Schizosaccharomyces pombe: one gene and its partner. The gene in region 1 interacts genetically with each later gene. Each region holds a gene or a part of one and is shown on either strand. Other genes may lie near its edges.

Region 1 (5,979 bases):
ATGGAACCCAGGCCAAAATATCAAGGATGCTATGCGTGGTTTTCGAGAGAAGACTAGAAAGATTAGAGCCATAAAGAATATTTTCAAGTGTGGGTAAAACACGAACCCATATGGGTGGACGCCAGCGTTCTGGAATAAACCTACAAGAGTAAAATAAAATTGCCCAGGTGATGATAACAATGGCAGGAAAAAAAATTTGGCGTGTTAAAGGAACGGTCAACGCAATGGCCAAAAGACAGGCAATGCCAAATTTCCCCCAGAATCCAGGAGATTCAATGACAATACAAGCAAAAATCAAATTACCTGCTAGAAACACATATTGCAAATGTGTCCATGACCATTTCGTATTGCGTAGCAAACGAAATGTAGGCATAGGGTTTAAGCTTGTTTCCAACTTGTATTGGGATGCTCGGTTACACGCAGCAAGGCGCTTTTTTAAGGTCGAAAGAGCAGACATTGCTTCAAAGAATTATCAGAGTAAAAAAGGGAAGCGTACGAAAAAAATTTCGTAAGGAATTAACCGGAAAACTAAAGGAAAAAAAAGGAATTTTTATGAAGGAAAGAAAGTAGCTATTAAATGCAAGTGTCAAGCACTTAAAAGTAGCGATGTAAAATATTTAAAAAAAGATGGACCGATTAACCAATGTTCAGCTCACAGTTGCCAGCAATCAGGGCTATTTTTTTATTTTTTTTATAAAATTGCTAATTATATATAATATAATTAGTTTATTAACTTGCTTTTCCTCAAAAAACCAATTCGAGAAAGGAACTTTTGCAGAGGCAAAAAAGCTTCTCCGAAAGAGATACTAGTTTAAAAACCTTTGGTTGCAAATACAAACCAAAATACTCCAATTTAACTATACAATTGGAGTTAGTCGATTTCAATTGCCCCGTATAAATGGTTCTTTAGAGGTTGGTAGTGGCGAGCTGAGAATGGTACGGTCGGCTAGTATTTGTTTAGGTTTGGCAAGTGGTGTTACTGTAGCGCAACACAAGATAGCCTAGCGAAAACAACGTTATTTCGAAACTCTAGGTAATTGGAAGATATTCCTTCTCAGGTAACACTATTCGGCAACGGCAGCCAATAAAATATTTGAAAGCTAAGACTCGTTATTAAACAATAAGACACTAAGCTCCATATATAATTACCGTATCCAAGTTTACTGCACGGAAATGAGAAAGCGGAAAGTAAATCAGAAACAATTTTAGCGAAATAAAATATGAATTTCGATATAATAAGATAAAAACATTGCGGTTGAGGGTAGTATCAGATGAAGCAAATATATTATTGTAACTAAATACCTTAAGCGCATCTAGGACACGTACTTAAGCATGGGTCTATATATTCAATAACTTAGCAATGTTACGAAATATTTAGGAGGAATAGTTTTATGCACTCTTTAATACTTCAAATTTTACTTCCGTCTATATCTGTTGAATTAAGCATTCAAAATGACAATTGACAACATTAAAACAATGTAAATCTATTTGGAAGTACTAATTTTTGTTTTCGATTTCTTAATTAGGAAAACAAAAAGTGCCTACTTGCATTTTCACAGCCTTTTTCTTTGGATTCTGAATGTATACATTAGCACCCTGTTGATAATTCTTTCACGTAGGTAAAAAAGACATCATTAAGCTATTGATTTTAAATGGCCGTAGAAAATTCAAACTGTCGTAGGTCAGACAACACTTCTCTAAAGATGAAACCAAATCGTATATTTGTTAACTAGAAATCAAAATCATATATCGCATATTAATTGTTATCTTAATTTTTGTGTTCCTTAGGTTCTCGAAATTCCAACGATGGATATTCTTACATACATTCAACACAACCCAACATATTAACTCGAACAAGCCATGGTTGGTTGTCAATAATCCTTTCACATTTGGAGGAACTCGTAAGGATCTATCTTCTAAATAAGGGCGTTATATATATTTAAACCTGTACATATCTATTTTCATTGATTTTAATGTTTTTTCCGTATTTGCTAATTTCTTTGATGCATACGATTAACTAATAGCTTTTTCTATTCTATCAAAATTTGACTCTAATCAAATTAAATTGGTTCCAAGCGTTTAACTTTGTGAATTCATGGCAGAAATTATTCATCATTCAAACGTATTCACCTGGGCTTTTCATGTTTCCGAATATGATGGTGCTCCTCTCCTTTTACTTGGATCTTTTTCCTCTGTAGCTTCTGTGAGTTTAAAGCGATCTGGTGATTTACTACTTTTTGAAAGATTCACGTTGCCTGCAAGAACGAGGTCTGTTGCTTTGTTATCAAGCCATTTCCTTCAGTCAGAATCAGGTAGACATTCAATAGCGAATATTTTAATTGCTACTGAAAACGGAAAATGCTACTTGTTGCAGCTCGTCAAAACACCAGAAAAAGCGTTTCCGACGATTCGTATTAGAGATGAATTCGTTCTTGATACTCGAATGTACAACCATGAACAATTAGGAAAATCAATTGATTTATGCCCAAATGCTTCCTTGTGGGCTACTAATTCTTTTGCTGGTGATATTGTATTTTTCTTTTCACATCATCCTTCCTTAAGCAAGCAAGTCTTCGCTCAACTTTCTATCGATGGAATAATACTTCATACCATATTTGTACCTCCAAAAAGATCCTCTTCGTCTTGTGTTACGTATGTTTGTCTTTTTCTAGATTCAAATTCGAATCCTAGAATCAATGTTTATAGGTGGTCTAAGACGGAAACCTTTTCTGATGCTAGTTCTTACATAACCTTCTCAATACCGGTTCCATCCGAATTTTCTCTTGCTTCCCATATTATCCCTTGCTCCAATATTCCTGATCATTTTTTAGTATTATTGGAGACAAAGATTTGTCTGCTTTCTGTCCCACAGATAGAATGTGGGGATCTAAAATTTTTACAGACCGATCTTCCATGCAGCGGTTCACATAATTATCCATTGTCTATTGCAAATGATAACGAAACTCCGAATTGTTGCTATTTAACCTACGAAAATGGAGATTTGTATCGCATTCGTTACTCTATTTTGTCTATTGATATTAATTTAATTGGAAAGACTGGATCTTCTTTAGGAAATTTGATACTACCTTGTTATCCATACATTGTTTTTTGTGGTGACTGTTCTGATACATTAGTGTATGATGTTTCGGTATCGCCTATGTCCTTTTTTGGTAGCTTAATTGCTTGCGCTCCAATGTGGGATTTTGTGTATTCCTCATCAAGGCATAACACTTTGTTGGATGAAGACATCAATTGTAATACAGTTTATGCTACTGCTGGCATTGGTAAATCTGGGTGTTTGGTCACAATGCGTTACGGGTGCTCATCCACTACTTTGCTTGAAGCAATATTAACTGAGGGAGCTGTTTTATCAGGAATTATAAATTCTAACCACAACTCTGAATTTTACGCTTGGCTAACTTATCCTTGGCAAACACAAATTTTAAGGCTTCATCTCGATGGGGTCGTCGAAGATGTTACCGAAAGTCTTTTTTTGGATGATATAAAAGCTTTATATGTTATAAATTACCAAAATACGTTTATCATTATTACGGGAAAATCCATTTATGCTGTTACTCCTAGTTGTACAAAGTATAACCTTCTTGAGGTTTCAGGAGATGAAGAATTTGTTTTGGCTGCTTATAACGAATTAATTTTCATCGTTAAAAAAGATTTAATGAATTTCAAAAGTCAATTGCTTACACTAAAACTAAATACTCTTTCTAATGGTACACTTGAACTTCAGTCGCTTCCGGATTCCTTCGATCTACACGATGTCCCTACTTGTATTACTTCCTTTTCTTTGGAAAGAAAGCTACTGGTGATACTGGTTCATCCTTCACCTTATTTTGAATGCGTTTTCTATGATGAAACCTCACACTCTAGTGTCTATAAAGTCCCCTTAACAGGTTTTCAATTTGGATACCTTCCTCATAGCATATCGTATTTGAGAAAATCAAACCGCGCTGTTTATGTATTGATTTCATCCAACTCTACTCTTTTAACCGTCTATGTAACTCTAACGTTAGAGGGAGTACCGGATTTTAAAGTTTACTCTAATCCTATTTCAACAGACTTACCACTCACGTTACAGTCACCCTCCGATGAGTTTTCAACAATTTATGCATGGTCTGACTATTTGTATATAGTGGGTATCGATATGGAAACTGAACAACCTACGCTGAACCAGATACTTGAAGTAAATGACAGTTTTACTTGTGTTTCTGGTATTTACGATATTCCAAATAAGTTCCAGAACAGTGAATCAAGAATCATAGTGTATTATTCGAATAATACTTTGTACCTATCGGAACTTTGGCTTCCACAGCGAACCTTTTCTTCAAAACTAAATCTTGCAGCAACTCCCAAGAGATTACTTGTTGATAAATATACGAACACTTTAATCATTGGATGTTGTCACGTTTTAGTAAATGAAATTACAACCTCAGGTCTTGCTTTTTACGACTTGACTAAGTGAGTTACGTGTTTCTAGTGCCTACTAACAATTACACAGCTCGCGACTTTTCCCTGTCAATTGGCCTTCAATGGATATTAAAGGTAAACCAATATTCAAACCGGAGGAATTATTATATTCTATGTCTTGTAAGTTAGCTTTACTTTAATCACCTAACGATTATTTAGTTTGGATTGTAGCCGACGATCAAAAAAGAAAATATAGGTACCTTTGTATAGGAACAGGGGTACGAAAAAACGGATTAACTACAGGTCGTTTGTTAATTCTTACCATGAATAAAGATCATGACAGCAATGCTATAGAACTTCGCAATGTCATCACAATTAATATGAAAGACCCTATTTATTCCGTTTGTTCGATCGGAAAACATGGATTGTGTTATGCAACAGGACGAAAGATTGGTGTAAAGATGTTGGACTTAGACTCAAAGAAGTTTTGCAACAGTGATTGTGAGTTACCTGTTCGGTCTCCCATTGTATCGATGTCAACGTATAAGGACTATGTGTACACTTCTAGTTTAAGAGATTCTGTTGCCGTGTTCCAGTATGATAGTGAAAACAACTCCCTTAATTTAGTTTGCAGCGACACATCATCGAGACTAGGCATTGATTGCTTTTACATTTCACAAAAAAAATTATTGTTTTCTTGTGACAAAGACCGGTTATTAACTTGTTTCAAAGTTGAGGGTGAAGTTTGCACGTCTACCAGAGAACAAATGCTCCAGCCAATTCTTACTACAGTGTCTCAAACAAAAACAAATGCCTTAACTAACCATTTAAAGTATTCAGTTATTCGGGTGGATAAAGATAATCATAATATTGTTTGGGGATTGATGGGTTGTACTTTAGATGGGAATATCTTCAAGATCTTAATGCCTAACGATCCGACTTCGTCGGATACAATTATCTATTCTGATACTTAATGTTATCACACATTAGAAATTCCAATTTACAACAATAAATTTATCAGAGCAATACTAATGAACAATTTTTGGATGGTTTTAAATGACGTAGATAAGCAAAGAGTATAATATTAAATTAATTTAATATAAACTTGGAACGCATGAATGTTAATTTTCATTAAAAAAGAGTTATATAAGTCAATAAATCTTTACATGTCAGCAGTAAAAAGTTGGCTAGCTATCGACAACTTTCTGACAGCAGTGTTTCATTCACAATCTTCGTGTTCCCATATAACCCGCCTAAAGATTGCTGGACAAAAATAATTCTTTGAGAGTCATAAAGGTAATGGTGTCCTGCAGAAGTGCAAATAATTTGTAACTGTAATCCAAACTTTAAATGACTTAAAATTTTCCCACTTTTATCGTCTAGTTGCTGAAGATAATGTTTCTGGCGAATCCAGGTTTTAGAGCAATCAACCATACTTGAAACATTATAAGGCACCAAAAAAACTTTAATGACTAAACCGTTAGTTTGTCGAAGTATTAGTTGTAATTGCCCAACTGATGGAATTCTATATCCGAATGGATAGCCTTTATTCATGAC
Region 2 (4,000 bases), 1.6 Mb from region 1:
GCTGAACCCAAAAAACATGTTAAATTGAATTCGTCCATATCATCCATTCGTTTCACACAACATGAATTTGAAGCGGAATCCGAGAAAATCATTCATCATTCTCTTAAAGGAGATATAGAATATCTCCCAAGCTTCAAATTTTTACTAGAAATTAAGGTCCGAACAATCGATTATGCTCTTTTATTTATTACTTATAAAATCCCGCATTTTGCTAGAAAAGAGCTCAGTAGTTTTTCGGACTCTGCAATACAATGTCTCGATATAGTAGCTCTTTTGAGAGCGTTCTCATTATTTGCCCACCATTACTCATATCGCTGCAATACGTGGTTTTATTTATCAAAGCATATGAAAAAAGTGGCATCAGCAAACATGGACGCTCAATGTTTCTATGTTCAAAATTCCTTTTACAAAATTACAATACTTTATGAGATAAAATTTGATGATCTTGGTTTTGTACAACCTAATTACTGCATCTCTTATATACTAAAGAATCAAAATGAAAAAATTGTAAGCATCACATCAAAGTTGCTTAATCAATTAGACAAACGTTTTTCGGAATTTGTATCGCTTTTCGGATTCAGAGAAGGTTCACTACTATTATTACAGGCATTATTTAAACCTCATTTGGGGTAAGAAGGATAAATTGATATTTTTAACATGGTTTATTGAAGCTAAATGTTAAAGCGGAGAAGGGGTTGCATATTCAACTTCTTGTTTAATTTCCACCTTGGGTATTTCAATACTATTGAGCACTTGGTGCAACTGAAAAGAAGTGTTATCTTTCTTAGAACTATCATTGCTTTTCGTGTTCAAGCCAATAGCTTTCGTAATTTTAGTGGAAGAAGTAATCTTTGTTTGTTCGGAAGATTTTTGTTTTGAAGTTCTTTTGGCAGAATGGGACTTGAGTTTCCAACTTGGAGCATCTAATAAAGGCTTCAGACGTCTAATAGCAATTTGAAGGTCTCCTTGTACAACCAGGTCGCATAAGTTCAAAAAATCTTTCGTAGGTTCGTCATAATTCAACCAAATAACATTTCCCTTCTGTTTATGCACACAGTTGCTCATTTCCTTGATAATTCTTTTGACACCAGGGATTTTACAAGAAGTACCAGCAACAATTAGACAGTCAGGGCGGGACTTTAAATCTTGTGAACAGACCGAACCAATAGATTCGGAATCCGGATGTATCTCATTGTACAAAACAATCCGAGGACGAAGGCAACCCTCGATAACTGATCTTTTTCCTGCTATACGACGAACCTCGTTCTCGGTTTTACAGTCAGGGCAAACAGTAACACCATTTCTATCAAATATATCTGGATTAAATTTTTTCAAAAAGCTGCACCTTGTGCAACTTACAACTTCCAGTGTCCCGTGAAGAGGAATCGTGGTAGGCCAAGGGGCAGACTGCGGCAATGGAATACATGTTTGAAGGCCCTCGAGTCTGGTTTCTAAAAAATCAATATTTTGTGTGTATAAACGTAACAGCTTAGATTCTTGGGCTAGTTGAGATAAAAATAAATGGAAATCAGTGGGGCGTGCATTATTAGAAAGCATATGTAGCTTTCTAATCATTGCGTGAAAGATGTTAACACTCTTAAGATCTCTGTAAACAGATCCATCAAACAATTCCTTCCCGGAGCAGTTCAATTTATACTCCGCACGAAGGGAGGAGAAAAGACCCTCAGAGGAACGGAAATCAGGAATTCCAGCATCACAAGAAATTCCAGCACCTGTTTAAACGTATTAGTAAATGAGCCTTTGTACGATTATAATATTTAATTTTTTTTTTAATCCCACTTTTTTTTTAAGTGAAAAGTTAAAATAAAAGAAGGAAAACCATAAATAAGCAACATACCAGTAACAACGACTATGCGCTTTGCCTTGCGAATGGCAGAAACTAAAGGAGATAAATCGACATTTTCATTGCCTGTATGAAGTCTAAGTGGAAGCTTGGAAAGTAATTGCTGCCTTTTCGAAGCATTTTCAGAAGATTGGCATTTTCTCTTCCTCGACTCCTGTATTAGAGGGACGTGCTCCTCCACTTTCATACTAAGCTACGTAAATTTGGAATTTTTTAAATCCAAAAAGTTGAGTGCATTAATTAAAATATATTAAAATCATTGAACTCTTCGACTTCTTCCTAAAATGGAATGGTTGAGGAATTAAGTTGTGATTGACGGTTAGGCGGTTGTGTCTACGTACGTTTCGAAAGGCCGTTGAAGGACAATTATATCGCTTGAAAGACTCAATTTCGCCATGTCTTTGTATAACAGTAATCGCAATTTTTTTCTCTATTCACTTTTAAAAATGCCGTTGAACCAATGTTTATTTAGAGTACTGATTTTTTTGTTTTTACCCATTTAATAAAATGTTCAGACTAGAAAATCAGCTTTCATGCTGACATTAATAAAAAGAATAAAATTAAGTCTTCAATAATCCTTCTGAGATTTCTCCTTCTATCAATATATAAATTGTCTAAATAGTCAAATGAAATAAATAAATATATACAGAAACTGGTAATAAAAATATTAAAACAAAAAGGGATTGCAAAAATTTAAAAAAACAATTGAAGTTCCATTTTCTTAAATATTGGGAAAACTTTCAAGAGTTTTAAGTACAGTATTTTTCCTTGACATTTAATTGAAAAAGTTGGAAGGTGAAGTCTTTCATAAAATTCTCAAAAAAATAACAAAACCAATAAATATATCTTTGAATCTTTGGTAAAATATCCATGCAGTTAAAAAAATTTAGTAAAACCAATCGGTCAAATTTTTAATTAGTTTATTTCTTTCAGAAACTATTGTTTTCTCTGTCTCGATTCCCCTCTCAATTGTAATTAAAGAAGTAAATAAATACATTATGTTTTCATGAACAATTGAAACAAAGAAGCATACGTTTATGTGAAAAGTTTCGACGTTTTTGTGTAAACTATTTAACGTTATGGGATAGTAAACAATAAAATATATAGAAATTTTTTGAAATTAATGATCTTTAAATTTAATAAAAGCATGCGAACTGAAGCATTTTATGAAATACGAATTTGCCTTCACGTTTTGCACAGTTAATTTGAAAATGAAATAAAATCTGCAGACTTGCTCGGAAATACGAACCGGAAATGAAAATTGTAAGCTAACTTAATTTCCATGGAGTGAATGAGAATAGCTCGTACATTTTATGGCAAAGGATTTTTTTGTTTGTAAAGGTCTTGCATTTTCGCAAAAATTGAGAGTGGAAATTGCATGAGTAAAAATAGTGAATCCTTCTCAAAAGGTAAATTTTATTAATAAAAAGGGACTCTGGAGAAGTAATTTGATACCAAAATCACCTGCATTGCCTGGCATTTCATTTATAGTGTTGCATATTTTTGCACTATTAATTTCTGCCAACAACATAGTAATTTCAATTAATAGCCTTATAGGCATACTGCTTATTCCTATTAATCCTTTGTTGCTTCACTGTTAATATCCAGATATATATTTAAAAAAAAGCATTTTAAGCTTTTAAAAGAGAGTCTGCAAAGGAGCGCCTACTTTGTGGACGTTCTCAACATTTAACATTATATAAATTTTCTGGAGTAACAAGAATGGAGCCTGAACATTCGAATTATGATTTAAAAAATCATCCTACGAGCGTTCAAGAGTCTACTTTAAATGGCTCTGCAGTAACTGATCCTCAGTTTGGAAATACAACAAATTCTCTACCTAGCATGAATGGCCTGTTAAATCATGAAAATTCTTTCGCTTCGCAGCAATCTTTATCGTCTTCTGCCTTTGATGATTCTGAAATCGTAACCAGCACTGCTAATAGCACAGTTGTATCTTCTGCTTTGTCTACCCCTAAAATTGACGATGCGCAAAACTCTGACGATGTTAGAGTAGATGGTACAAGACGTTCTTCAAGGGCTAAACGACCCGTTTATCGTGATTTCTCTTATACTGAAATTGACGAGCATGAAATTCCGATTCCTAAAAAACGAAAGAGCAAACCTGCACCAAAG

The links. A genetic interaction does not mean that the proteins touch.
Region 2: of mms1 (region 1) and hst4, a mutation in one rescues a mutant of the other (synthetic rescue), as found in Schizosaccharomyces pombe (one study listed by BioGRID).

The regions. Positions count from the first base shown.
Region 1 is NC_003424.3:593,394-599,372, reverse strand, and holds mms1 (E3 ubiquitin ligase complex subunit Mms1), read left to right. Parts: upstream 1-1,846; 5' UTR 1,847-2,095; coding exon 2,096-4,473; exon of another isoform or gene 4,474-4,513; coding exon 4,514-4,602; exon of another isoform or gene 4,603-4,641; coding exon 4,642-5,396; 3' UTR 5,397-5,472; downstream 5,473-5,979. Other genes in the region: inositol phosphorylceramide synthase Aur1, read right to left, coding at 1-457; SPOM_SPAC3H8.04 (chromosome segregation protein), read right to left, coding at 5,614-5,979.
Region 2 is NC_003424.3:2,191,431-2,195,430, forward strand, and holds hst4 (histone deacetylase, Sirtuin family, NAD-dependent Hst4), read right to left. Parts: upstream 2,186-4,000; 5' UTR 2,052-2,185; coding exon 1,859-2,051; exon of another isoform or gene 1,734-1,858; coding exon 679-1,733; 3' UTR 634-678; downstream 1-633. Other genes in the region: CENP-P family protein Fta2, read left to right, coding at 1-633; CENP-A chaperone, CHD family Hrp1, read left to right, coding at 3,587-4,000. UniProt on the Schizosaccharomyces pombe protein: NAD-dependent histone deacetylase, which contributes to both telomeric and centromeric silencing, proper cell cycle progression, DNA damage control, recombination, and genomic maintenance.